Linked DNA regions of Rattus norvegicus. The protein of the gene in region 1 purifies or fractionates together with the protein of each later gene. This does not show direct contact. Links are inferred from orthologs where the notes say so. Each region holds a gene or a part of one and is shown on either strand. Other genes may lie near its edges. The genes, in order: Arpc1a, Arpc3, Arpc2, Arpc4, Actr3b, Actr3 and Actr2.

Region 1 (4,132 bases):
GCAACCACACACATGGCAACACACACATGGCAACCACACACATGGCAGTCACATACAGACACACACATGGCAACCACACACATGGCAACCACACACATGGCAACCACACACATGGCAACGTACACACACAGATAAACCTTAAAAGAATGGATTGTTACAAATATTACTAACTGTGAACAATGCAGCTTAGACCCCAAAGCTGATGGACTTGCTTTTTAAGGGAACAAAGCTGGTTTGTAAGCTAGTGCCTTGGTTATCCACATGCAAAGAGGACACCTAGTTCATGAAGAGCTGAGAGTCACACCTCCAGATAGACTTCTCATTCTCTCACTCGGGGTTTCTAAGGACGCACTTCCTAAAGAACAGCAGAATTACTTCTACAACTGCATTTCTAATTTTGTTCTTTCAGTCAAGTCTTATAATTGAACATACATTCAGACATGTCCTTCCTTTATAGTCATTTGGCTATTTTAAGCCACAATTTTGTACCAAGCAAAACGAACCTTTATTCATATGGTGATAATTTAAAATCACTAAACAGCAGGTGATATTTAAGCAGTGTTTGAAAATCTTAACAAGGCTCAAAAGGAGAAAGGGGAACACTCTAGGTGATTATGTGAACAATAAGTTTTCTGGGCACTCAGGAGGCAGAGGCAGAAGGATCTCTGTGAGTTCCAGGCCAACCAGGACTATATACAATTAAGAATCTGTCTCAAACATAACCAACGACCAAAAACCCAGGCTTCTGTTGCCGCTGTCCAGCACTGAGGGATGAAAAGGACTGAAAAAGAGGTGACTCCATGGGCTCCTACTCTCTTCGGTTTTCACTTAGCACAGTCTTTTCTTCCTGCCCTGCTGGGGAGCCAACCCGCACACTATGCACACCAGGGCAAGGGCTCCACCAACTCAGCCACGTTCCCAGCCTTCGAGTGGAGTCATTTTACTATCTGGTTAGCCATGGCATCTGGAGACAAGGGGACCTGAGTTTGAATCTTCGTTTTAACACATACATCATGAGACGCTGGGACGTTTTTCATTTCATCTCCAAATGACATTACAAGACAACTGTCAGGAAGGTTAAGTGAGATAGCACATAAAAGCACCCCAGACCGGACCCCAATAAGTTAGTTTTCTGTAAGTCTAGCCTTTAATGGCAGAGCCATCTTGCAAGCCCAGTAAATTAGTCTCTGGCACAAAGCTTTGGACCAGCCCTAGAAGGATCCTCTGAACTTGGACACGTCTACCTATGTTGATGTCTTGGCTCCATTCCACTAGAACTTGACAAATTCATGTTAAGTTAGAACTTCCATTCCCTGTTAGGGTCATTTTCAAATCTGTGATTCATCTAGTTACTAATTGCTCTCGTTACCCAACCCAGCGATACCAACAAGAGCTCCAACAAGGTTACCACACCCTACCAATGCTTCATTCTAAATTCCAGCTTCATCAGACCATCTCCACACTTCCTATAGAGAACTTATTTTGACCTAACGCTAGATAATTTAGATCAAAACACTGCCACCCATCCTCCATAGGAGTCTGCAATTTCCAGAAGGATCCCCCAGTTGTGACAGAAGATGAACTGAAGAAGCCCCACGCCCCCAGACAGCACCCCGAACTGATAACTTCTAGAGATCTGAAATCCTAAGGCCTACATGGAAACCAAAAGATTACGTGACACTGATAAGATAGGATGCCAAACTAGGTCATTTCAGAAAACTGGGCAAGGAGGAGATAGGAGCCTCCCAAGTCGCACCACGACAACAGATGGTTTTATACTCAGAGATTCTAAGGTGCAATTTATTAAGTGCTTCCCAAGTTCCCAACAATGTTAAGTATCTGAATGGGGCCAGAAACATAAATAAAACCTAGTCCTCAAGTCCTTCTCCGGAGGAAAGAGCAGAAAGGAAATGAAGGCACTAGTAACGGCTGTTACTTATTTTAGATCAGCTACTCTGGGTTAGGAATTACTGTAAGCAACTCAAGCAAATGAACTCCACATGAACCCAATAAAACCAAGCGGACTAAGAATCTTCTTACTGCAGCTGGGGAAACTGAGGCATCAAGAAACAACCTTTCCAGAGACACCTGACAAATGGCAGAGTCAAATGGGAACTCCGGCGGTTCTACATAAAGGACCCTATGAATCGGAATGAAGAGGAGAGTACAACTTTGACTTGGGGCGGGGGCTGGAGCAAAGGAATCTTAAGGCTACTCGAAAGATGGGTTTTCTCTTGCTGGGGAGGGTTCCCCAATAACTGATGGATCGGAGGCTGCTCTAGGCAACATCCTAGACGTTGAAGAGATGAACAAGCCATCGTGACAAGCCATCGGGGGAGATCGGCCCGTCTAAACTAATTTTACAGATTGTGGTAAACGCTCACAGTAGGGGTGCAAATGGAACTGTGGGGGTGTCGGAGGCCAAGCTGTTCCTTCTCCCATCCGAGACGGAGGGCAGCTGGAAAGTGCTCAGGAACGCTCGGTCTGTGTCTGTGTGTGTTGGGGGGTAGGGTGGAGGTGGGGATCAGGGACTCAGGGGTAACCACGAAGAACGGAGATCCCGGCCCCCTCAACTCAAGACCCCGCGCCTAACCGACCTGGGCCCGCCGCCCCCGCGTGCCATAGAACATACAAGAAATGGAGGCGACCCGGACCAGACTCTCGGCCCTGCAGCTCCTTACCTGGGGTAGGGGAGGTCGGGAGGTCCGGAGCGAACGATTCGCGGACTCTGGTCAGTCGACGCGAACAGGCTCCGGCGGGCGCGGACGGAGGAGGGAGGCCTAGAGGGAGCGGCTGACAGATCCCGGAAGTGGTCAGGGCGCCTGCGCAGAGCAGCCTCTTTCGGCTGCCCGCCGGGCGCAGGCGCAGAACATAGCCCTCTTTGGGGTGCTCTGTCTGAATGGCTGCGGTTGCTCAGATGAGGCAGCCGCTAGTCAGCGCTAGGGCGTGCTTATGGAACTGGATAGGAGTCCTGCTCCTTTCTTTAAAGAGACTTAAGCACACACACACACACACACACACACACACACACACACACACACACACTCCTGAGCCATGGCCCAAGTGTGCAGTGTCATAAAGTGTGCAGTCTCAAGTGTTTTTTTGTCATAAATCACTGAGACAGGCTCTCTCAGGCTTCCTGGTTCTGAAGAACAATTCCAAAAATTTAAAAAATATTCATGTGGATGTCTGTGTTGGTATGTGCATGTGAGTGCAGGTGCCCCGGAGGCTAGAAGAGAACAACAGATCCTCTTGGAGCTAGAACCGTAAGCTACCCCATGTGGTACCTGAACTCAGGTCCTTGGCAAGAACAGCACAGTCTTTTAAACTGAGCTATCTAGCCAGCCCTTGCAACTAGGTTTGTGTTCTTTCCCTTGCAACTACGTATGCACCTTCGTAGAGGGTGGGTCAGGATTGGTAGGTAGACTACTTTCTGCCTGGAGGGCTGTCCGTGCCTTGCACCCTCAGTAGAAAGTCTCATGTCTACCCAAGAGTGCCTTTGACCGCTCCTAGATCAGGAGCACTTGTTTCTACACCCACAGTGACACTGCAAGGAGGTGCAGTGGAAATATGGGAAGAGTGTTTGCTATGTAGATGCAATTTCTTTTTTTTTATTTTTTTTCAGAGCTGGGGACCGAACCCAGGGCCTTGCACTTGCTAGGCAAGCACTCTACCACTGAGCTAAATCCCCAACCCCTTTGGTGAACTTTTATAGTTGCAGGACAAGAGAAAGCCATAAGTCAGTACATATAGCGAAGTTATAGGGAACATCAGGTAGGAGGGCTATAGCAAGAAGAGTCAATCTTTCTTAGGTTTCAAACTAGGTTAGAGTACTCTTAGCTTTAGGGTTGGTGGAAGCTAGGGGTCTGCTCATGCACAGCAGGGGCTTTACACACGTCTGAGAATGTTAGGCTAAGTGTAAAAATAAAGATCATGGCTGGAGGGGTTGGGGATTTAGCTCAGCGGTAGAGCACTTGCCTAGCGAGCGCAAGGCCCTGGGTTCGGTCCCCAGCTCTGAAAAAAAGAAAAAAGAAAAAAGAAAAAAAAAAAAAAAAAGATCATGGCTGGGGATGTAGCTCAGTTGACAGTGCTTACCTAACATCATCCACAACCTTAGCTCCCCAGCCCTGTA
Region 2 (3,500 bases), about 25 Mb from region 1:
CCTGAGTAGAGCTTAGTTGGTAGAGCAAGCAGTTGCCTAGGGTGCCTGAAGCCCTGGTTTAGTCGCCAGTTCTGTGGTTATCTAGGCCCGTCATCCCAGCATTGGGCAGGGGAGGTAGAAGTTCAAAGTTGGTGCTGGAGAGATGGCTCAGTGGTTAAGAGCACTGACTGCTCTTCCAGAGGTCCTGAGTTCAAATCCCAGCAACTACATGGCAGCTTACAACCATCCGTAATGAGATCTGATGCCCTCTTCTGGTGTGTCTGAAGATAGCTAAGGTGTACTCATATAAATAAAATAAATTTTAAAGGTGTTCAAAGTCATCCTCACCTACATAGTGAGTGAGAGTGAGAGACCACCAGCCTGGGCTACGTGTTGTGGTTGAAGGGGCTGGGGGTGGGGAAACAAGTTCAAGGAAGAGTCATGTTGTGGTCATAAGGCAGGAAGTGGCAGATTTCAAAACTAGGGCTTGGGTCCTGGCTAGCTGGCGGGTGGGAAGCCTGTTTTGTGTGGTCTCTGCAGTGAATGTCTAGGGAACGGCTGTGCTCACTAACCAGCTGACAGAACGTCTCAGAATCCACCAGTCTGTTCTCTTGAGTCAGGAGCTGTCTCTCTGTAGCTGCCACCAGCCCTCTCCTCCCACAGTTGGTCCTGAGGGTGTTTTCCTTTGGAGGACTAGCCTTGTCTCCTAGTGACACTTGTTCTTTCTCCCCTGCTGGCTTCCTTCCGCAGGCTTACCACTCTTCTCTCATGGACCCTGACACCAAGCTCATTGGCAACATGGCACTGCTGCCCATCCGAAGCCAGTTCAAAGGACCCGCCCCTCGAGAGAGTAAGTCTCGCTGTCCTTTTGTTCGGGGTCAAGACAGACCTGCTGACTTGAGAACGAGCTTAGCTTGATTCACGTGTACTCAGCTTCCTGTTACACTCTACGGGGCGGCATCACAGTTACCCACGCCACAGGAAGCTGCTTTCTCAAAACCTAGGATGTTTGCGTGAGCTTAAAGGAAATGTGGCCGGGTTGGTAGAGACCTTGCTTGGCATGGAGGAGAGCCTGGGTCCCATCTACGGTACACTGAGAGCCAGGTGTTGGGGCGCACACCTATAATCCTAGCACTTGGGAGGAGGCGGCAGGAAGATCAGAAGTTCAAAGTCATTCTCAGCAAGTTCTAGGCCAACTTGGGCTACTTGAAACTCTGTCTCAAAAAAAAAAAAAAAAAAAAAAAAAAGAGGAAATGTGTTGAATTCTGGCCACAGTCCCCACAGGCACTGTCAGTCATTTCAGACTGGCTGAATGGCAGGTCCCCAGCCTTCTTCTGTCACCATGCTGGACAAAATAAGCAACAGACAGCGTTACGTGGGCACGGGCAGTACCTAGGAGGCTGAGGTAGGAGGTGGTTGGAGTCTGGTAGTTCAAGACCTGCCTAAGCAAGGGCGAAACCTGTCTCCAAAAATGGAAGGAAGTCCAAGGTGATTCCCTCTCCAAAGGGCTGACTGTGTGCCCTTTTCAGGGACGTAGCAACTTGGAAGAAAGCCAGGCATGCCCAAGGTCTCTGGTGAACAGGGAATACTTGTTTCCTTTGCCTTCCTTTGGCTGCCCACATATATAAAAATAATAATAATAATAATAATAATAATAATAATAATAATAATAATAAATAAAATTTACAAAAAATGGAAGGAAAATGAACCTTTCTCCACCAAAGCTATTATTTCTTTGGTCAACTTTAAAAACAAAAAAGTAGTCATTTTCTTTTCATTCTGATTTGTATGTGAGGGCCCATGTGAGCCACCGCCCACAACTGGAGGTGAGAGGATAATAAACCATAAATCACTAAACCACGTCTGACTTTACACTGAGTCCTGGGGATTCGAACTCAGGTGATCAAGCTTTCTCTGCAAGCCCTCTTACCCACTGAGCCATCTCTGCAGCCCTCTGTCAGTTTCTTACCATACCCCAGTGTTATTTAAGCCTTGCTTGGATATGTGAGAAGAAAAATCTCTCTCTGAAACCCTGGTGGGCCTGGAGGTCAAACAAGCCAGCCTCAGTTGTGGTGCTCCTGCTGCCTTCTTCCCCGGGTCTGGGGTAACAGGCGTGTGCTCCCTTCCTGCCTTCTTCCCCGGGTCTGGGGTAACAGGCGTGTGCTTCCGTACTTCAGTCTTTTTTTTTTTTTCCTTTAAGACTTATTTGTGTTTTTTTTTATTGTTTTTTTTTTTTGTTTGTTTGTTTGTTTTTTTTTTTGGTTTTTTTTTTTTTTTTTTTTTGGTTCTTTTTTCCGGAGCTGGGGACCGAACCCAGGGCCTTGCGCTCCGTAGGCAAGCGCTCTACCACTGAGCTAAATCCCCAACCCCTCTTATTTGTTTTATTTATATGAGTACACTGTTGCTATTTTCAGACACACCAGAAGAGGGCATCAGATCTCATTACAGATGGTTGTGAGCCACCATGTGGGTGCTGGGAACAGAACCCAGGTCCTCTGAAAAGCAGTCAGTGCCCTTAACCACTGAGCCATCTCTCCAGCCCATAACTTTGGTTTTTTTGTTTGTTTGTTTGTTTGTTTTCTTTTTTTTATCTTTATTAACTTGAGTATTTCTTATTTATATTTCGATTGTTATTCCATTTCCCAGTTTCTGGGCCAACATCCCCCTAGCCCCTCCCTCTCCCCTTCTATATGGGTGTTCCCCTCCCCATCCTCCCCCCATTACCGCCCTCCTCCCAACAATCATGTTCACTGGGGGTTCAGTCTTGGCAGGACCAAGGGCTTCCCCTTCCACTGGTGCTCTCACTAGGCTATTCATTGCTACCTATGAGGTTGGAGCCCAGGGTCAGTCCATGTATAGTGGCTTAGTCCCTGGAAGCTCTGGTTGGTTGGCATTGTTGTTCATATGGGGTCTCGAGCCCCAACTTTGTTGTTTTTTAAAGACAAGGTCTTGCTGTGTTGCCATGGCTGGCCACTGCACCTCATGGTGTCAGAGTTCCTAATGATCGGCTTCTGGCTATGGTGAGGTAGTGTCTCACTCAGAGCATTTAAATTGTGTACCCCTGAGACCAGAGGTGTTGAACACTTTTCAAGATAGTTACTGGCCATTCATGTTTTAGTTTGAAAAGTGTCTGTTTACTGGTCCATTTTGGTTGTGTGTGTGTGTTTCTTTTCTTTTTTTCAGAGCTGGGAACCGAACTCAGGGCCTTGCGCTTGCTAGGCAAGCGCTCTACCACTGAGCTAAATCCCCAACCCTGTGTATGTGTGTTTTAAGACAGAGTTTCTCTGTATAGTCCTCACTGTCCTAGAACTCATACTGTAGACCAGGTTGCCCTCAAACCACAGAAATACTGCCTGCCTCTGCCTCCAGCAGATCACAGCTTTGTTTCCCAGTCTGGTCTGAGAATTTTGGGGTTACCCACTTTTACCACCTGTTGTTAAGTGTTTGCAGTCATCAGGGTGCAATGTCCACTCCGCCCTCAGCTGTACTCTGGATTCCCCATTCAGTTCCTGAGGTAACTT
Region 3 (4,033 bases), on another chromosome or scaffold:
AGGCTACCATGAACAGAATTTCCCTATTAATCTGTTCTGAGAAGTGCAGAGAGCAGTGTGGAGCTGAGCTCTCCCAGGTTTCTACCCTGCACAGCCTTTCACTCTGCACAGTCTCTCTGGGCTACTCCTTTTCTTTAAGCTTTCTATCCTCTCCCAACAGAGCTTGTCCATCAGTTCCTCCCTAACTTTGCTAACAGGTTGTCTTCAAAAGGCTCCCTGTTCTTTCAACTGCTGCCTGGCATTGAGCTCCGATGAGACCCATCCTTGCAGAAGACAGCAGTGGTGTACGCGTGGCCTCAGTAACCACTTCAGTGCTGCCTCATCTTGACAGGCAGACTGGAGCACACTTGCTTAGAGGTTGGCTTTTCTTTTCTTTTGAGACAGAGTCTCACTAAATAATCCCTGGCTGGCCTGGAACCTGTGTTGGCCCTGCTGCCAGGGTTATAGGAGTGCTAGGGTTATGGGAGAGTACCACCACACCCTGCAGAAACAGGCAATCTCAGGAAACCCCAGCCCTTCACAGTCTCTTCTCAAAGATTCTCAAAGTTTTTTTAAACACAATGTTTTGAGCATATTTGTTAAGCCACATATCCCAAGGATGAACTAAATAAGACAAAACATACTACTGCCTCAGACATTAAACCTGGCTACAGTGAGCATCCTTATCCAAAAAAACAAAACAAAACAAAAAACAAACCAGAAATTCTAACTTATGCCCTCCAAATTTAAAACTCTATTTTAATCTTTCTGCAACAAGGTAGGCCAGGATGGCCTAAGAACTGAGATTACAAGCACATCACACCTAGTTTGGCCTGGCCTTTTTTTTTTTTTTTTTTTTTTTAAATACAAGGTTTCATTAGGGCCTGGAACTTTTGCTGTTCCTGTCTCGCTCATATGAGCCCCTGAAAGCTGGGGTTACAGTTGAATGTGCCTGGACTACAGGCATACATCACCGACCACAGAACTTTAAGGAGAGTTTTCTAAAAGTAAAAGGGCTACATAAGGTTCTGAATAGTGGGTCACATTTTAGAATCAAGTTATTAACAAATAAATAACTATGAAAGTCCTCCTCCATTTAAAGGCATGCCTCCACTTGAACACACGCAGCCATTTATCTTGTAGATCCGCTTATAACCACCCAGGACTCATTCTTTGCTAGTCAAGACTTGAGAATGTATGTATTAAGATCAGTTGTGAAAATGCAGAAGTTATCTTAACTTCCTCATTTGTGCCACACTAATTAAAAAAAAAAAAAAGCACACACCCCATCACCTACAATAAGCCCCGGTGTGTCGACTAATTCCAAAACTCAAAATGCAAACAAGGTGAATAAGAGCGAGTGAATAGGCAGCATGTGCTCAACGGCACTCAGGGCAGGAAACTATGTTCACTGAACGCACCAATTCAAGGACTGTCCTATTTTGTTTGCAGATAAAACGTGGAGCCTTACAAAAGAGACAGAACAGGCAATGTATTCCATGCTTTCAGTGTCAGCGAACCACACATTCATTATAAATGCTTAGAATTAAAGAGGAGAATGAATGAATCCCCCCTTCCAATCCTCTCCTTTCTGTGGATCTGCAAGCACTTTCCTATTTCCAGTTCCCCGTTCACAGAAACAGTCTGCACTTACCTCCTAACTGTGAAACCAAAATGTGAAGCCCCATCCTCACCAATGAGGAAATGAGGCAAAGGAGTGGCCACAGGCCACCATAAATTAGAACCTAAAACCTCTGCTCAGGTTTTAAATACATTAGGGAGGCAAAGCAGCTTTAAGGGAGGAGTTTGCTTTTTTGTGTTTGACAGAGAAGGGTTGAAATACGTCCCATATTAAGATGCTGATGTTAATAAATAATTATCTTAAGAACTTTATAGATTCTGGGAGAGGCAGCTATTAACCCAGCGGGCATTACTAGAAATCAAAGATCAGGTGTCTTGGATAAGAATTTAAGACACCCAACCAAATCAACCTTGTCTTGAGAGCTAAAGAGAGTGGATGGAGAACTGTTGGCTTTGCCTAAGAGATATGTAACAAAATGGCTAGTGTCTCTCGCAGTAGGTTAGAGGGTTTTTTCCCTCCTAGAAGCCTGGGTCTGCTTTCAGTCTTGCCTCCTGCTTCTCCTGGGGGAGAGATGGGGGTGGGGAAGCAGAATGCCGGTGGCGATCTGGGCCTGCATGTTCTTCCCACCTCATCCTGGGAATTCCTAAAAACTCCATTCAATCCAGCTTCCCCAAAAGGGTCTTTCTGGGTTCGGAACAATGACGGTAAATATAGAGGAAAGTGGGGCCCTCTCTTTCCCCCTTAGGACAGTAGGCTCTCGGACGTGACTTCTGGCCTCGGCTGCCCTCACGTCCCACAGGTCGTCTGTTCTCTGGCACGCCTTGCTCCTGCCCTCTCGTTGCTTCCGCATCCCTGTCTCAGCCTCTCCCCACGCATCTTAGGCCTTCGGCTTACCGCGCCCCGTGGCTTCCCACGTCCATCCTGCTAAGGAAACCCTGAAGCCGCGCCAGGTTCCCGACCTCTTCCCTCTAGGGCTGGGGAGCTGGACGCCACCCGGGATTTAGCTAGGGTCAACTCGGCCTCCTCCCAGTGTGCGCTTACCCGGCGGCCGCGTTCTCGAACTTGAGCGCGAGCGTCTCCTCGATGATGCGGTTGTTCACCTCCAGCAGGATCATGGCGGCGGCTGCCCCGAGCAGGGGAAGGAGAAACAAGGGCGGTGAGGGTGGGCAAGCGAGGGTAGGACTGAGGGAGCGGCCCCGCTGCCCCTGACGAGGGGGGCTGGGTGCGGTAGGTGAGGGGAGAAGGGGACGGGGAGCGGGGTGGGGAGAGGCGGACACACGCGCTGGCCCGGCACGCGCTGCCCGTAGAGGCAGCCACCACCCGACCGACCTGGCCCCCGAAGCTTCAACCCGCCTGCCGAGCCGCCGCCGCCTCCGCCGCCGCCTTACCGACGATCCCGGTCCCCGCCCAGCCCCCGGCTCCAGCCGGCCACTTCCGCTCTCACACCCACTTCCGCTCGCCGCCCGGACGCGCGGCCCCGCGGCGCCATTTCCGCTTCGACCTCGAGCGTGCACACGCCCGCAAGCGCGTCCCGGTAAGGAGGCAAGCAGAGGGCATGCGTGCGCATGCGCGGCACGCCGCCCCGCCTCTCCTGACCAGTTGAGTCCAACGCTCACCTGTCATTCCCTGTTGTCCTTACTACAATCCACCTGCGCCTTTCCCGAATATTCCAGAGGCCCGATTCCACCCTTCCGGTATTATTTCTGAAACCCCGTAAGAAGCTTGTTTTGGGGGAACTTCTTGCTTCTAACTTGTGGATGCTCTTTACTTAGGGCTACCCTGCAGCACCTTCGTGCCTTTCTTTGCCAGCGACTGTTTAGTGGGCATCGTGTAATGCAATATGACGACTTACCCTCCTAAAGCTTATGGTCTGATAAAGGAGACACAATAAATTCTCAATGAACTACACATTGTTACTGGGCAATAAAGGAAAGGAATGAGTAGTCAAGAAAGTTAACAGGAATCCAGATGGGCCTTCCGGGATTCCTGTCACACCTTCATTTCTTTGCTTAAGTGCACCTCAGGTGATCCTCATGGTCCAGTAACTCTGCTACAGTTAGAATTTTCTATCACTGTGCTCCACTGTCCTTTCTGCGTGGGTACCATGTTTCCATTTTTCTCTCTTCCAGGAACAATTTTAATTAAGCCCCTTCTCTATGCAATGAACTTTTTTTTTTTTTTTGGTTTGATAGTGGGAATATTTGTTTTAAGTGTGCAGGTAGGGGCTGGAGTGATGACTCAGAGTTACGTGTACTGACTGCTCTTCCAGAGGTCCTGAGTTCGATTCCCACAACCACATGGTGGCTCACAACCATCTATAATGGAATCCCCTGCCCTCTTCTGGGGTGTCTGAAGACAGCTACAGTGTACTCATATATATGAAAGAAATAAATCGGGGTTGGGGACTTAGCTTAGTGGTAGAGCGCTTGCCTAGCAAGCGCAAGGCCCTGGGTTTGGTCCCCAGCTCCGAAA
Region 4 (4,139 bases), on another chromosome or scaffold:
GTTGTACAGGCAGGTCTTGAACTTATGATCCACCTGCTTCAGCCTCCCAAGTCTCTAGGTGTACAAACCTGCATGATTAGGCCGGCCTCCTAGTTGCAATTTGAACCACTGTAGTCTCGAATCTGCAGCATTAAGGGAGAGGGGATACTAGTGTGCTCTGCCTTCCTATGTCCTCTGTTTCCTATACTGGGCCATTTCTATCTAACGGGGTTCTCCCGGCCTCTCCTTGCCTCACTCCATTCCACCTTTGCACCTTCTCTATGTCTCTAACTAGTTTGGAACACAGGCTGGTTAGGCAGACAGAACTAAGTTCCAGCCATTTTCTTATGTGCCTTTCTAAACATGTTATTTAACCTGAATCTCCGTTTTGGTTTTTGGGTTTGTTTTTTTTTCCAGGACAAAAGATGATGCCTCAGTCTATTTCCCCATTAAAAAGTAGGAATCTGTAAAATGGGGGCATCGAGAGTACCTACCTCCCTGGAATGTTCTGAGGATTAAGAAGTGATGCTCGTCAAGTGCCCAGCTCAGTGCCTGGCACAGAAGTGGGACTGCTTAATGGCTGGCTCCACCTGTGTGTCGCCCCAAGATCCCGCCTCCAGGGTCCTTGTCCTCTAGGGAGCCCCTAACACAACCCCCGCCTCTCCTACCTCCTCTCTGCGGCCTCCTACAGGCCCCGGGCCGCAGGAGGGGGCGGGGAGTCCAGGGCGATCGGAGCAACTGCTCCGGAACTGGCTATGGGCGGGCCCCCTGCAGTTGACGCGAGGGCGGGGACACGGCCAGCCCACAGTGACCTGTAGGGGTGGGGGCTGGGGGGGGTCTAAGGCCACCTACGAATCTCCGGGAAGTGGAATGCTAGGCCTGAGGAGACCGGGGCTAGGAAGCAGCCCGGGGCTGGGGCGGGGCTCTGAGCTCAAATCTCAAGGGACTGGCTACCCGGCCGAACCCTAGGGTTGCTAATGGGAGGAGCCCGGAGAGGATAGGGGAGCACCACCGGAAGAAACGTCGGGCTTCTCCGGTTCGGCCTGTCCTAATTTGGTGCCCAACCTGAGGTCGGGCCATACTATTGTCACACGGGGGGAGGCTACAACCAAAGCGCCAAGCGCTAAAGGCGCTGGAGGGATACGTGTGGGGACCCAAGGGGCCTCGACTGCTGTTATGTCACTGCAGATCTTCTACAAGTCCCAGCGGTCCCAGCGTGAAATCGCCTCAGAGATCTGAACATCCTTCGGCTCTTCTTCCCTGGTCCTGCCCGAGATGGTCCAGCCCGGAAGTGCTGTCGGGGACTGCGGCTGCGCCTCTCTGGAAAGGGCAGGCGTCCCGGGGCCGGGCACTTCCGCACTTCCGCTTTCCGGCCCAGACAGCGCCCGCGATGGTGAGAGACCAGGGGCTGGGGGCCTCCCTGTGTTTTGCCTGGAGAGGCTGTGGGTCTGGGGAAGATGCTGCTTGCTGCTAGGGCTTGCGACTGGAGGTTGCCCTGGGATGAGGGGGCACAGTGAGGATGGAGAGGCAAAGGGTGGGGCGAGGACCGAGGCGAGGAGGAAGGGGCGAGCTGGGAGGCTCTCCCAGGGCAGAGCAGGCCCAGAGGCTTCCAGGTTGGGAATCCCGGGCAAGAATGGCCTCTCTCCGAAGTTTGGAGGAGGCAGGAGACGGGACTGCTAGGCCTGTGGTGGTGGCTTGCAGTTGAGGTAGTAGGACCGCTGAGGAATGCAACGGGACCTCCTCTCCCTCCACGGTAGAGATTCGCTAAGTACAGCCCCCTGTCCCCGCCTGTCTCATGGTACCTCAAAGCAAGTGTCCACTTCACCTTATTACCTTCTCGGCCTTCCTGGAAGCCTTGCCTTTCAGCCCCCAGTGAAGGTTCTGTGTCGCCTCCATGCAGACTCCTTCCTGGGTGTTCAGTACCGTGTTGACCTTAACGTGTGTAAATTTTGATAGCCGCTGGTCCTTCCCTTCCAGGGGATGCTCGGCTCTGGTATCTGTGGGTGTTCCGTGCAGTTGTTCCCTGCAAGTTCCGTCTCTACCTACTGCTGTCCCTGGTCAGCTTTAATGACCTGAGTTCTGAAGGCTGGGCTGCTTGTCGCGCTCCTGTGAATACTGTCAAGGGAGAGACTTCGAGATTAGACCCTCTTTTTCAAAAGTCGTCTACTTTTCTAAGCTTGTTCCTGTGTCCTAGGTCCTAACTGGTTTCATTCCTCAGTGTGAAAGCTGTTTTCCTTCTGTCTAGCTGAGGAGCTAGCTTTGTGTGTTTTTAAGCATTCAAGTTTATTGTACGACTTCTTCAAGCCACTAAAGGGTAAATAGTGCAGGTTGGCCATCTAAAATTTGGATTTCTTTCAATGAACTTTGACAAGGTAATCATGTAGCCACAATCGAGGTAAAGAACAGTCTATCACTTTTCCGACGGTGCTTGCCACCCCACACAACTAATTTTGCCTTTCCAGCTTTGCCTCTTCTTGGTTGACATATAAGTAGGATTCTGTAGGGTGTCGCTAGAAGCCACTGCTGAGCTACATGACCGTTGGTTTTTAGCCCTTCTCCCCTCTGTCTGATGTGTGTCTGCCCCTGTGATTGCTGTGCTTGTCTCTGCTGCCGCACAGAGCTTATACTCTGTGCCTCTTCTCTGCCACAAGTCTCACTTCCCTCTCCATTCCATTCTCCAGAGAGCCTCCGTGTAGCTGTAGTCCTGTGACTTCCTCCTCAGAAAGTCCCAATGCTTCCCGCTACATTGAGAGAGAAACTCAGTGGAAAGCATTCTAGACTGTCTAGGGTTTTATCCCAGCCCACCACTGCAGCCTGCTTGCTCCGTGTGATTGAAAGCAGTTCTCACACACAGAAACCTTCACTCGTTACCACTTGGGAAGTCTTAATGCTCTTTTGTGTAAATCCAGCCCTGCTTAGGTTAGTTCATTTACACTACAGAAAATTTGTATGACACTATGTATAGGAAGGAGGTACTGAGCTGGTTACAACCTGCATGACTGAATTAAAGTTAACGTCTGTAGACCGTGAGAGTTACAAACTAGTAAAGGAAATCTTATTTGACAAACTACATGGCATTCTGTTGTGAATTATATGTAAAGTGAACATACCATAACCTATAACAAATGCATTGCGGGGGAAGTCCACAAGGCCATTTTGAGGAAGGAAGAGGCCTTCTCTACTGAGCTGATCTCTGAGAGACTGACCTAAGTAAGGAGGAGGAAAGCCTGAAGATGATGCCTCTCGGCATGTGATAGGCCCTGAGGGGAGAGAAAACTTGACCGAGACAATGCAGCTGGCCATTATAGCTGACCTCATCCACTCTGCTGAGAATGTCTGGGTTCTACTTTTTCTCATTGTAAAATCATCCTGATCTGTATGTGGTGAAAAACAATTTCTTTAGACAGTATAGACTATTTTTAAGCCTAGTTAATTTTATACTTGGCCCTCAGTCAGCCCTTGTGATCCTCACCCAGTTGAGCTGTTTGAGGGTAGAGGTGATCTGACTGAATTCCCAGCACATTCAGGGCATGGGTTGATACTTCTGTCAATGTAATAAGCAGATAGAGACGTGGATCCTTCTAGATCGGTATTACTTAGCTTTGGCACTGATAATGCTGCGTAATTCTGTTCTGCATGCCAGGATATTGGGCAGCATGCTTTGCCTGTGTCCACTTATATCTATAGTACCCCTGTCTCCAGGTCAAGACAGTCAACTTTTTCTTCAAACTTTGTGAATTGCTAAGCCAAATTATTGACTGCTGGGAACTGCTGCTCTAGATCTTGATTGGACTGCATCTTGAAGTCTGGGTATAATCTGTTCTGTGTGACAGCCATGCCTGAAGTCATCAGTAGCTTCAGTGGAGGGGCTGACTTTGTTTTGATGAGGCAGATTCTGATCCTTCCTCTGTCTTGACTTTATTCCTGCAGACTGCCACTCTCCGCCCCTACCTTAGTGCCGTGCGGGCCACACTGCAGGCCGCCCTCTGCCTGGAGAACTTCTCTTCCCAGGTCGTGGAACGACACAACAAGCCAGAGGTTGAAGTCAGGTAGGGAAGGAGGTCAGAGTGGGCTGAGGAGAACAGCTCCCAAGAACAAACCCTGTCCAAAGGGGGCAGAAATCCATGCTCTTGGATTGTCAGGATACCTTAAGTAACATT
Region 5 (4,004 bases), on another chromosome or scaffold:
AAGTTCCTCAGGCATCAGTCAAGAACTTTAGAGGCTAATGTGTAGGGCACAAGTGGGATTTCCGGTAGGTAGGCAGTTTCCTTCTTTAGTCTTGGTTTCCTCAACGATGCTGGGTGATCACCCTATCTTTCATATTGGAAATATTTCCTAGTTCTGTTGGTGTGGTATTGACTTAACCTAAGTGTTCTAGGTCATGTCGACTTGACACACTGTTAAAGCATGATCAATATAATAATATACATGGAGCAAATGATGCTAAACACACAGCATTTATTCCTTAAGACTAATTATACATTTGTTGATTTTCTCCCAGGATACATTTATGCAATGTTCTATCATAGAAAGTCGTCAGTATTTTTTTCTACAGTGAAGGTTACTCATTCATTCAACATTCAGGTGATTACTATCAGAGCGCTAAAGGTGTTAAGCATGAGGCCCTGTCCTAGGAGACCTAGTTCAGCAGAGGTGCTTATCTATAAATAAGTACCCAAACTAGCTTTAAAGGTTAGAAACAAAATCAGGAGGTTGTTGGGGTAGAGAATGAAGGGAACACCGAAGTGAGAATTAAGAGAAGAGAAAGCGGGGCTAGAGAGATGGCTCAGCTATTAAGAGCACTTGCTGAGCTTCCAGAGGACCCAGTTCGGACTCCTGGTGCCCACTCACTGCTGTCTATAACTTCAGCTGCAGGGGATCCCAAGCCTCTGGCTTCCAAGAGCACCTGCTCTTACATACATGCACCTACCAACAGACAGACACACACCCAATGATATCAAAAAAGTTGCAACTAGATAAGCCGAGAGTGGTGGTGCACACCTTTGATCCCAGCATTACCGAGGCAGAGACAAGTGGGGCTAGCCTGGTCTACAGAACAAGTTCCAGGACAGTAAGGGCTACACATAGAAACCCTGCTTCGAAAACAAAACAAAACAAAATTACGATTTGAAAAAAAGAGAGAAGAGAAAGAATTCAGGCCTCGCAAATGGGGTCATAGTCATCTTATGCTTGTTAAAAATAGACTCCAATCTCTTCCACTGCAGGATGGATGCAGAGGCTAAAAAGCCTAGCTGCCAGCAGTAAGGATGGCTGACAAGGGGGCGGAGCGTGCGCGTCCCCGATTGGCCAACTGTAGAGTGACGTCACGAGGCGGAGCCTCTGGGTTCCCGGCCGCTCCTGGGTGGGGAGCGGCGCGGGCAGCGACCTGGCAGCTAGGCTCTGGGTCCCCGGTGCACGCTGGGGCTGGTGGGGACCGAGCGCCTCGTGGACGAGCATGGCGGGCTCGCTGCCTCCCTGCGTGGTTGACTGCGGCACCGGGTAAGAGCCGCGCCCACTCACGCTTCGCTGGGCGTCCTGAAGCCATTTCCCCGCGGGGTCAGACCGCTGGAGGAGCGCGGAGGGACGAAGCGCTGAGGGACAGAGCTCAGTCTGAGGGTTTGGGGAGTTTGAGGGATAGGGCTCAGTCTAGGGGTGGGGTGGGGAACTGTGGGGACGGAGCTCAATCTGAGGGCATAGAGAGCTAAGGGATGGGGCTCTGAGAAGATGGGGTGCTGAGGGCATGGGGCTGCGGGGTTGCCGGGTGGGCAGCACCTCGTGGGGATGTTGCTGCAGATGCTTTCGCTGCAGGTCTTGCACCTGAGAGCTCAGGGTCCGGCCCCCTTCCCCCCACGACTGCTCCCCCCCACCCCCATGGTGCTTGTCACCTGTCTTCATACTTTGCACTCATGGGCGTTTTACCTTTCTCTTCTGATGTACCAAGCACCTACTTGTGGAGATGTTTACACGTGCCTTGTCAACTTGACACCCTGTCCCCCTTCCCACTCTGCTCTTTTCCACTCTGAATGGCACAGCCAAGCCCAGCCCCTGCTTTGGTTTGCATGCACTCATCTTTGCTTTACACACACACACACACACACACACACACACACACACACACACACACACTGACCGATGCATTTAAAAAAGACTAACATTTTGAATAAAAAGTCTTCTTTTTTGGGAGGTAGATAGCTCTTTTCTTTTTGGAAGACGTTGATTTTTTTTTTTCAGAGGAGACCTTAAGCGTGGCTTATGCTGTCAGGCTTAGCTAATTTTAGGAAGGTGGCAACCAAGCCCTCCAACCTGGGGGTTTGGGAATACCTGCTGGCATTGCCGACAAAGTACTTCATAAATAGCCTGCAAATAAATTTAGCCTCTTAAAATGTTTTTCAAGGGATTGTAGTCCTTTGTCACCAAATAGTCTGTGGCATGTTCTCTTGCTATTCTTTCCTGTAGAAAAATATACTTGGTTTGGTTTCCTTGACAACCTTGTGGGGGTGTCTTCTAATTTGTTACAGTCCATCTCCTACTGATGTGTCTTTCCTTTTGGTACTCGGGAACCAGCAGTGATGCAGACTGGAAAAACATCCTTTATTTGTGCTAATTCTTCTTTTGGAAATACACGTTCTAGAGAAGTTTTGTTGCCCTGTATTTGAGAAGTTGCTTACTTCCAGACATGCTCAAAGCAGTAGGGCTCTCCCAGCCCACTCTGTATGTGCTGGCTCCCCTTACAGTCTCACCCTAACTGGTACTCCCTTCAGTCTGGTAGTGTCAGCAGTGAAGGCAATATGTAAAAGTTGTTTGTTTTAACGTCTGCGGGTGAGATTTTTGGTTGCTGAAATACGAAGCATTGTGCAGTGGTACAGCAAAACAGTTCTCCCCGGGTTTATAAACTGTGTTTTATTTCTTATTAGTAAGCTGAGATCTTACTCATTGTTCTTGCTATAAATATCTAAAGCATGCTCAGTTTTGACCTTTTGGGGTCAGTGATTAATGCTGCTGTCACCTCCAGTGGATCATCATGGCCCTGGGTGCCTCAGGGTGTCATCTGTGGGCTGTCATAGGCTCTGGACACAGTGCCAGGGACCTGGGGTTCCTATGGGGTGTTTTCTGCCATTGAAGCCCCTGTGGTTATCATGACTTCCTAGTGCTCAGTGTGTGAGCAGAAGGAAGGCTGCATAGCCTAAACGTGCCAGCTTCCATGTATTAGTAATTCTTGTATTTATTTTGGATTGAGTTTTTACCTCAGAATAGAACTAAATGTAAGATACAGCTGAAAATAGCAGGGGCTGGGGGACAGAATAGACTTGGGAGATCTCATTTTGGACCAAGTTATACCTCAGAATAGAACAGTGCAGCTAAAAATAGCAAGGGCTGAGGAACAGAATAGACTTGAGAGATCACGTGGGCACTGCTGATGAAATAAGTGGACAGATTTTTGTTTTGCATTGTGTTGTGTTGTTTTGATGGTGATAGGCGTCAAACCCAGCGATATTGGTAAGGGAAGCCTCTGCCACTGAATTGCACCCTGAGGTCCAGTCTTGTCCGTCTGTGTGCCCTCTCTGTTTCTCTGTCTTACTGTCTCTGTCTTTCTCTTAAATAGAGTCTTCTCATTGTATAACCCAAGCTTGAACTGGACTTGAAGAAATCCTCCTGCCTCAGCCTCCTAAGCGTTAGGATTACGGGTGTGAGCTAGCATGCTCATCTGGCCTGTGTTTTATAGGAAATACATTTCTTTTGTGACCTCGAGTCTGATGAGCTGCCAAGCTAGCTGAGTGGACACAGGCATGCTGGGGACAAGAGAGAAACAGACGAAGGTATCTGTGAGGCCCAAAATTAAGTCTCAACTATTTAAAGGCTGCTGAGCTCCCAGAGAAAACACCACAAACCCTGTCTCACATCTCACCCAAACGTTTAAGGTAGTTTTACACAGTTAAACCATCTTTGAAGTGATTCCAAGCTTACTGAGAACTGGGAGAGAGCAAATCTATTCTTCCAGGTTCAGCGGCTTTGAACGTCATGCCACCCAAGACTCCTGAATGTGCTCTTACTTTTCTGAGCTGCTTAAAAGAAGGTTGTTGGCATTACCCTCCTAGATTTCAGTGCCTACTTTCTGAGTGAGAGCAAGGATTTATATAATCCCAGACTCGTCAGAGAAGTTAACATGTGTGCAGCACTGCTGTTCCCTCTGC
Region 6 (3,500 bases), on another chromosome or scaffold:
ACCCAAAGCCTAAACAAAAGGTGATATACCCACCCAGTAAACTAGGACTTGGTAATATAAAGAAGCATACGTGCTATAATAAATAATTTCAGAAACCTAAGTCTAAGTGAACACAGCCTGTCACAAAGAACAGAGTATATCATTCCATTTCTGTGAGGTTGCTGGATAGGCAAACTATTCACACAGAAAGCCTGTAGCTGACAGATGTAATGTGCACCATACTTGGAAGCTGCCATGTGCTCACTAAGAACTTTCCTGCCTGTGTGTCCTCATCTTCTTCCCTACATGAGCCATGATGCCAGCTGAGACCATCAGCACAGATTACTCTGCTACTTTTTTAGGTCTTTAAGTGAAGTCAAATCTGGGCTTGATTGTGCCACATGTACTGCGTGAGGTCCAGAACCCTGTTCTCAGCTCTGGGACCTTTATCAGTTACAAATGGAACTATGACTTTGGGGCACAGCCTGCTAAGGAGCTGCCATTTGCCTCCTTTTAGCACTGTTGATGTTCTTAAGACCCTCCAGATCCTCATGCAGCCCATGATTATAGCCCAGAAACAGCCTCGAGTCTTGTAAAGATCTCACAAGTTCCTACCATTTACCCCCAGGTGTACTATTTCACATTTTCTTTAGCAATTTTTTTACTTACCACAGGAATGACATGAGTGACTCCGTCTCCACTGTCTATTACTGTACCCGTCAGTGTCCGCTCTCCTACTTGTCTTGAGGTCCAGGATGCAGCTAAGGCAAGAACAGCCTAAAAGGTAAGACAGACCAAAATAAACTTTTAAAGAGTTACTAGGGGTGAAAGTCTACAGAAGTAACCTGTAATGACATTACATACTTTCTGCAATTTATGGGCCCCTTAATATCCTTGCATCAGGATACTTAGAAAGTTCAGTGTTTAAAAGGAACACTCTCTTCCTAGAGCCACAAGCAAGAGTGACACAAACATCCTCAGCTCCGGAAAAAAACAAAAAAACAACAACAAGAGTGACACAAACATGTATGTAACAAGCACACCAATACCTTCTCCAAACTTAAATACCACTACCCAGACTACCACAAACTACCAAGCTCTACTCTTCATGAGCCAGCAAGCATTACTCTTAAAAATTCAAACTCAAAAGTTTCTGAATGCTATCTGCACTTAGCACCGTCCATATACGAGTACTTAACTAAAAAGGCCACATGCACTTCCAGACAGCCTGAGTTATCTAGAAAACCAGTAACACACAACACCATTTTTCCTACCAAGAATCTCATCAAGGCTAATACAAAACAATTCTTTCCAGGGGGTGGGGGGGGGGTGGGGATGGGGGTAACTTTTATAAACTGAATTATCATTTTTTAAAAAAGGTAATTTCTTAAAATCAAAATATATGAGTAGTAACTAAAAACAAATGATCAAACTAACTTTGCCCACTTACAATGTAATACTGAAAGGAACCAAAAGGTATTTAGTTCACCATCCTCCATTAAAAACCAAAAACAAACAAACAAATCTCCCAACAATCATTTGGCTTCAGACTCCTGAGATTGAGGCCATGGCTCCTCACTCTATTTTAACAATAACAACAAAAACATCATTTTAATAATACAATGACTGTTTATCACCACACAGTATTTTTTAAAGGTTTTACAATGAACAGTTTCACATAATGTTAGAAGAAAAAAGAGAAAAATTTTGAGATTTCATTTTGAAATATACTTTTTTGGTAAATCCTGTTTTGTGATCATTTTCTACAAAATAATAAACAATTAGATCCCAAACTAGAATATGCATATATTAATATACTGGGCTACAGAAATCTTATTGACTACTGCACACCAAAGAAAGGAGCAGATATAAGCAAGTGAATGAGAAGCACTGAGGAAGTCAGGCCAAGCACAGCACTACTGTGTCTAAATTTTCACTTTAAGAAAGCGTGGTATGATTTGAATTATGGTAAAGGTTTCTGGGAAAAGATATGCACGGTTCAGGAGAAAATTAATCCTGGATGAAATGTTCACGTCAAGCTTAAATAAGCATAAGTCACTTACCTGCACAGCAATGTACAGGCCTGGAACATTGAAGGACTCAAACATTATCTCAGCAGTATATTCCCTGTTTTCTGGAGTATTCAGTGGAGGTTCAGTCTATTGAATGAATGATATTTTACATAGACAATATTAAATCATTTCAAACTTTATAGGTAATTTCTAAAGGAGAAGTAATCTATAAAATAATTTATAAGGCACTAAATTTATAGGTAGAGAGAGACACAAAGACTATAGGAAAACTGTACAGAGTAGAAACAGACCAACACATATATGAAAGTAACATGTTCTCAGTGTCTGTATGCTCCTTCTCTTTTTGTTTTTTGTTCCCTGTTTGTTTTGTCCCATGCTGGCTTGTTTATGTCTTTAGATGCTTGTTTGTATTCTAATGAGATAGAAACAAAAGGGTATGGATTTACGTGGGAAAGTCGGGAAGATCTGCGAGGCAGTGGGGAAGGGGAACTGTAATCAGAACATATTATAATTTTATTTTCAATTAAAAAACTGAAGTGTTCAATATCATTACAAGTCACCAGGAAAAGGCAAATTAGGACCAAATCAAGAGCCATAATGACTAAAATTAAAAAAGATTAACTGGCTAGAATGCAGGTGCAATTCAATTAAAATGTTGGGTGAAGAGTCACCCTAGGCCACAGCTCTATACCAGTTAAGTGTCTGCCCTACAACAGAGCAAGTCCACAAACGGGATGAAATTAATTGTCTACAAGGACAAGAATGTTCAAAGAGACAGACTGCATGACGTAAGTTTTACTATAGCACATCTTGTATGAATTCATCTGTGTAAAACCAACTATAGGCAAGATTAATCTCATTTGTTAAGAAAAGTTAAAATAGAATGAAACACTGGTTGCCTCTAAAGAATGAGAAGCATAAATTAACTAGAAAAGGTATTGATAATGTGTTATTTAAACATCTACAACTATCAAAACTAAAGGGGGGCCAATCACCTAATTCTGAAAAACTACTTCAGAGGGACACATCTATATCATTCAGTCCATTACGTATGGTCTGTGGCTGTTCTCACTCTACAGTGGAGCTGGACGGCTGTAACAGAACTCGTTAAACTCTCATTTGGCTTATTCAGTATCCATCTGGCCATCAGTTCACCTGTCTGTCTGTCTAGCTAGCTAAACTATCTATCAGATCTACCTACCTATTACCTACCTACCTACCTACCAGTCTCTGGCCCTTTTTCTTTTGTCACATCTGATCAAAATCCACAGATGATTTAGCTTTGTCATTTTTATAAAAACTTTATATGAAAAAGAATATAAACCAATAATGAACTATTCGATGATGGACATACTAAGTGTTTAAGCATGAATTGATTCTCATCTGTACATAGCTTATTTTGATGTGATTCAAAACCAAAATGCATTAACAGATGGATAAACCAATGCATGTCAAAACTGTTATGCTAAATGTACTTATACTGAAATG
Region 7 (3,500 bases), on another chromosome or scaffold:
AATTGCCAGTAACCACATGGTGGCTCACAGCCATCTGTAATGGAACCCAATGTTCTCTTCTGGTGTGTCTGACGATAGCTACAGTGTACTCAAACATAAAATAAAAAATCTTAAAAAAAAAGAGCCCAGGCTGCTCACTACAGATTACCAAGGACACTGGACTCAGTCACCTGTATTCCTTCAACACAGTGGTAACCTCGTAGGTAGGAACAGTTTCCGGTGAGCCCTGTAAGTCTTCAAGAGGCTAACTGCACAGAAATCTGTTAGAAGACCTCTGGCTCCCTCTAGTGGTTGTCAAGATCCAAAGGCTACTTTACAGGGCTTTAAAAGATACTTACCGAAAGTTTCTCCACATCTCCTTTCAGAACTCGTTCTAGGTAAAGCTGTTTAAGCTCTCGTTCCAACCTCGATGGCAGGCCAGGATACATGGTAGAACCTCCAGAAAGCACAATGTGCTTGTAAAATTCAGATCTAGGAGACAGAGTGGGTGTTTAGTTTCAGATTATGAAAATGGTACTCTATTTTTTCTTTTTTTAATTTTGGGCTGCAGATGAGGCTTAGCAGAGCACTTGCCCAGGAAGCACAAAGTCCTGGGCTCCACAGCAGCACCACACACGCCAGATGTCTACAAAGTGGAGAAAGGAAGATCGGAAGTTCAAGTCTCTGCTAAATTAGAAGTACCACGACATGGAGGGAGGAAAATCAGCTCGACACCACCTATCACATAAATTAAATGGCAATAAACGCCTGCCCAACAGATAACCAACAACAAAGCACACGCTCTGCCCTGAGCTGCACACGGAACTGAATGTTGGGGGAGACTTCAGAGCAGCAGAAGGCTCTCTACTGCGCAACGGCCAAAACAACGCAAACACAAACATGCAATGGGTCAGCGGTGTGCGTCCGTGGCATGCCTGCCCACATTTCCTCATGCAACGTCTCTGTGGCCTCGTTCTGAACACAGTCCTCTGTGCGGTGTTCATGCAGCCATGCCATGCCGCCCCTGAGCTCACCCAAGACTGTGGCATGTTAGAAAGCTGGTACGTACAGCTTTCTGCTCTTACGAAAACATGAGAGTGAACAAAGACATTTTTCTACCATCGACTCTCGGCACAGTGAGTATGAAATCAATACATTTTTAACCAGCACTTGAGAGACAGAGGCCAGCCTGGTCTCCATAGTGAGTTTCAGGATAGCCAAGGCTACACAGACAAACCCTGTCTCAAAAAAAAAGTAAAAAACTAATATTTGAATTCCTAATTTTTGAGTTTCATTAAAAAAAAAAATCCTTATGTGAATTCTGACTTGAGATTAGCCCAGAGTCTCCAATAATTTCTGAAACGGCCTAAAACATATTTGTGCCATTTTGTTCAGCTGTTTTTTGCAGCACTGAGGTTTGAGGCTAGTGGCTCACACACGCTGGCTAAGTATTCTGCCTGAGAGGGCCTCATCTCTGTTGTGTTTTGAGACAGGATCTCACTATCCAGACTTAGGTGGCCTGAAACTTGCTATGTAGGCTGTGCTGGCCTCAAACTCAGATCTGTCTCCCAAGTGCAAGGATTAAAGACATTTGCCACCGAATCTGGCTAGCACTAACAATTAGAAAATCAAAACACTGACCAACTAAAAACAGTTAGAGTCTTCAACTGGACTATCAAATATTCAGCCAAGATTTCTTCTTTTGGTGTGTGTGGACAAGTCTGAAAACCAAAATCTAGGTCTTATACACACAAGGCCAGTGCTCTACCACTAAGCTACATCCCAACCCAAGAGTTCTCCCTTTCTTCCTTCTGATACAAGGTCTCATGCTGTCCAGGACTGACTTCTATATAGCTATGGTTGGCCTTAAATAGGTGTGAACCACCATATCCAGTTTAAGATTTAATTATTTTTAAAAAAGATTTATTTTTATTTAATGTGTTTTTCTTGCATTATTGTGTACGTCATGTGTGCCTGGTGCCTAATAAGGTCAGAAGAGTGTTCCAGATTCTCTGGTACTGGAGTTACAGATTGTGGTAAGCTATCATGTGGGTATAGAAATCAAATCTGGGTCCTCTGCAAGAGCAGCAAACACTGGTAACCACTGAGTCATTTCTCTATCCCCAAGACTTAATTCTTTATGTAAAACCAAATAAACCCATTCATTTCATTAGTATGGAATTTGTTTTCATTTTTAATACATATAATATATATATATATCTTCATGATTATCAGTAAATATTTGCCTATGCTGAGAATTATGTAAAAATTTTTCAGCTAAAAAGTGTTCATAGCCAGGTAAAGTGGTATATGCCTTTATTTCCAGCACTTGGAAGACAGAACCAGGTGGATCTCTTTTTTTTTTTTTTTTCCGGAGCTGGGGACTGAACCCAGGGCCTTGCGCTTCCTAGGCAAGGGCTCTACCACTGAGCTAAATCCCCAGCCCCCCCCCCAGGTAGATCTCTTAAGAGAGGTCATCCTGGTCTACATAGCGAGTTTCAGGCCATCCAAGGCTATATAGTGAAATCGACTCCTTTCCTCAAAGGGTGTATATGATAGCTATTCTTGGTTGTCAACTTGACTACATCAAGAATTAACTAAACCCCAAACACAGTGGGGTACATCTGTGAGGGGTCTTTTCTTAATTTGAAATTGGAAGACCTATTTCTAATCCAGATCTTTTAGATGGGAAGACTCACCTTTAGTGTGGGCCACACCCTGTCTGCTCGAAGTCTATATAAGAGCATGGAAGGAGGAGGCTGCCCTCTTTGCCTGCTTGCTCTCCCCTCACTAACAAGTCCATTCCTTCACTGGCATTGGAGCCTACATCTTTGAGATTTCAGCTGATCCTGAAAACCTGTCAGGACATCCAACCTCGTGGACTGGATTCCTGAACTAGAAGGCAGCCACTGTTCGATTAGCTAAACCACAGCTTATAAGTTGTTCTAATAAATCCTGTGTGTGTGTTTGTGTATGTGAATATATGCATATTCATGAATATATACATACATATTCATTCTATACGTTTTGTTACTCTAGAGAATCCTGACTAACATAGGGGTGTCATAAGTGAAAAGTTTAAGGAACCCTGACATAAATTATGGTCACCATTACAGAAAACAGTATAGAAACACTCCCCAAAACTAAAGATGGAGCTATCAAACAATTCAGCAATCCACCACTAGATACATATCTCAAGGAATAAAGAAATGATAGACACAGTAAAACATCATTCTCTCTTAAAAAAAGGAAACCTTATGATTTGTAGCGATGAAGACAGGCCTGGAATAAATTGTGTTAGATGAAGCCAGGCCAAGTCTGACAGTGAATTCAGCAGCAGAGAACAGAATGATGGTTACCAGGGACACTGAGCTGGTGACTGAATCGAGGAGGTGCTAATCAAAAGATATGCAATTTCAGTTAGATAGGAGTCCTATCACACAACACAGATTCCATTTGAAAAGATACTGTATATCTGAAAAGCACTGAGTTTGAGGCCAGCCTGGTCTAAAGTGCAAGTT

What was found.
Region 2: the proteins of Arpc1a (region 1) and Arpc3 purify together in Homo sapiens (affinity purification with mass spectrometry; 8 studies listed by BioGRID and IntAct, counting the BioPlex papers as one, with this or other methods). This does not show direct contact. The link is inferred for Rattus norvegicus from reciprocal best matches to the Homo sapiens genes ARPC1A and ARPC3.
Region 3: the proteins of Arpc1a (region 1) and Arpc2 purify together in Homo sapiens (affinity purification with mass spectrometry; 8 studies listed by BioGRID and IntAct, counting the BioPlex papers as one, with this or other methods). This does not show direct contact. The link is inferred for Rattus norvegicus from reciprocal best matches to the Homo sapiens genes ARPC1A and ARPC2.
Region 4: the proteins of Arpc1a (region 1) and Arpc4 fractionate together in Homo sapiens (co-fractionation; 7 studies listed by BioGRID and IntAct, with this or other methods). This does not show direct contact. The link is inferred for Rattus norvegicus from reciprocal best matches to the Homo sapiens genes ARPC1A and ARPC4.
Region 5: the proteins of Arpc1a (region 1) and Actr3b purify together in Homo sapiens (affinity purification with mass spectrometry; 5 studies listed by BioGRID and IntAct, counting the BioPlex papers as one, with this or other methods). This does not show direct contact. The link is inferred for Rattus norvegicus from reciprocal best matches to the Homo sapiens genes ARPC1A and ACTR3B.
Region 6: the proteins of Arpc1a (region 1) and Actr3 purify together in Homo sapiens (affinity purification with mass spectrometry; 7 studies listed by BioGRID and IntAct, counting the BioPlex papers as one, with this or other methods). This does not show direct contact. The link is inferred for Rattus norvegicus from reciprocal best matches to the Homo sapiens genes ARPC1A and ACTR3.
Region 7: the proteins of Arpc1a (region 1) and Actr2 purify together in Homo sapiens (affinity purification with mass spectrometry; 9 studies listed by BioGRID and IntAct, counting the BioPlex papers as one, with this or other methods). This does not show direct contact. The link is inferred for Rattus norvegicus from reciprocal best matches to the Homo sapiens genes ARPC1A and ACTR2.

The regions. Positions count from the first base shown.
Region 1 is NC_086030.1:14,636,253-14,640,384, forward strand, and holds the start of Arpc1a (actin-related protein 2/3 complex subunit 1A), read right to left. Parts: upstream 2,801-4,132; 5' UTR 2,682-2,800; intron 1-2,681. UniProt on the Homo sapiens protein: Probably functions as a component of the Arp2/3 complex which is involved in regulation of actin polymerization and together with an activating nucleation-promoting factor (NPF) mediates the formation of branched actin networks.
Region 2 is NC_086030.1:39,840,937-39,844,436, reverse strand, and holds part of Arpc3 (actin-related protein 2/3 complex subunit 3), read left to right. Parts: intron 1-729; coding exon 730-829; intron 830-1,460; exon of another isoform or gene 1,461-1,603; intron 1,604-3,500. UniProt on the Homo sapiens protein: Component of the Arp2/3 complex, a multiprotein complex that mediates actin polymerization upon stimulation by nucleation-promoting factor (NPF).
Region 3 is NC_086027.1:83,268,902-83,272,934, reverse strand, and holds the start of Arpc2 (actin-related protein 2/3 complex subunit 2), read right to left. Parts: upstream 2,677-4,033; coding exon 2,603-2,676; intron 1-2,602. Other genes in the region: uncharacterized protein LOC103690558, read left to right, coding at 2,675-2,717, 2,775-3,255, 3,334-3,421. UniProt on the Homo sapiens protein: Actin-binding component of the Arp2/3 complex, a multiprotein complex that mediates actin polymerization upon stimulation by nucleation-promoting factor (NPF).
Region 4 is NC_086022.1:148,076,560-148,080,698, forward strand, and holds the start of Arpc4 (actin-related protein 2/3 complex subunit 4), read left to right. Parts: upstream 1-1,339; 5' UTR 1,340-1,369; coding exon 1,370-1,372; intron 1,373-3,909; coding exon 3,910-4,028; intron 4,029-4,139. Other genes in the region: Tada3 (transcriptional adapter 3), read right to left, coding at 69-74. UniProt on the Homo sapiens protein: Actin-binding component of the Arp2/3 complex, a multiprotein complex that mediates actin polymerization upon stimulation by nucleation-promoting factor (NPF).
Region 5 is NC_086022.1:10,086,563-10,090,566, reverse strand, and holds the start of Actr3b (actin-related protein 3B), read left to right. Parts: upstream 1-1,204; 5' UTR 1,205-1,267; coding exon 1,268-1,311; intron 1,312-4,004. UniProt on the Homo sapiens protein: Plays a role in the organization of the actin cytoskeleton.
Region 6 is NC_086031.1:39,369,010-39,372,509, forward strand, and holds part of Actr3 (actin-related protein 3), read right to left. Parts: intron 2,139-3,500; coding exon 2,043-2,138; intron 757-2,042; coding exon 649-756; intron 1-648. UniProt on the Homo sapiens protein: ATP-binding component of the Arp2/3 complex, a multiprotein complex that mediates actin polymerization upon stimulation by nucleation-promoting factor (NPF).
Region 7 is NC_086032.1:98,504,093-98,507,592, forward strand, and holds part of Actr2 (actin-related protein 2), read right to left. Parts: intron 472-3,500; coding exon 339-471; intron 1-338. UniProt on the Homo sapiens protein: ATP-binding component of the Arp2/3 complex, a multiprotein complex that mediates actin polymerization upon stimulation by nucleation-promoting factor (NPF).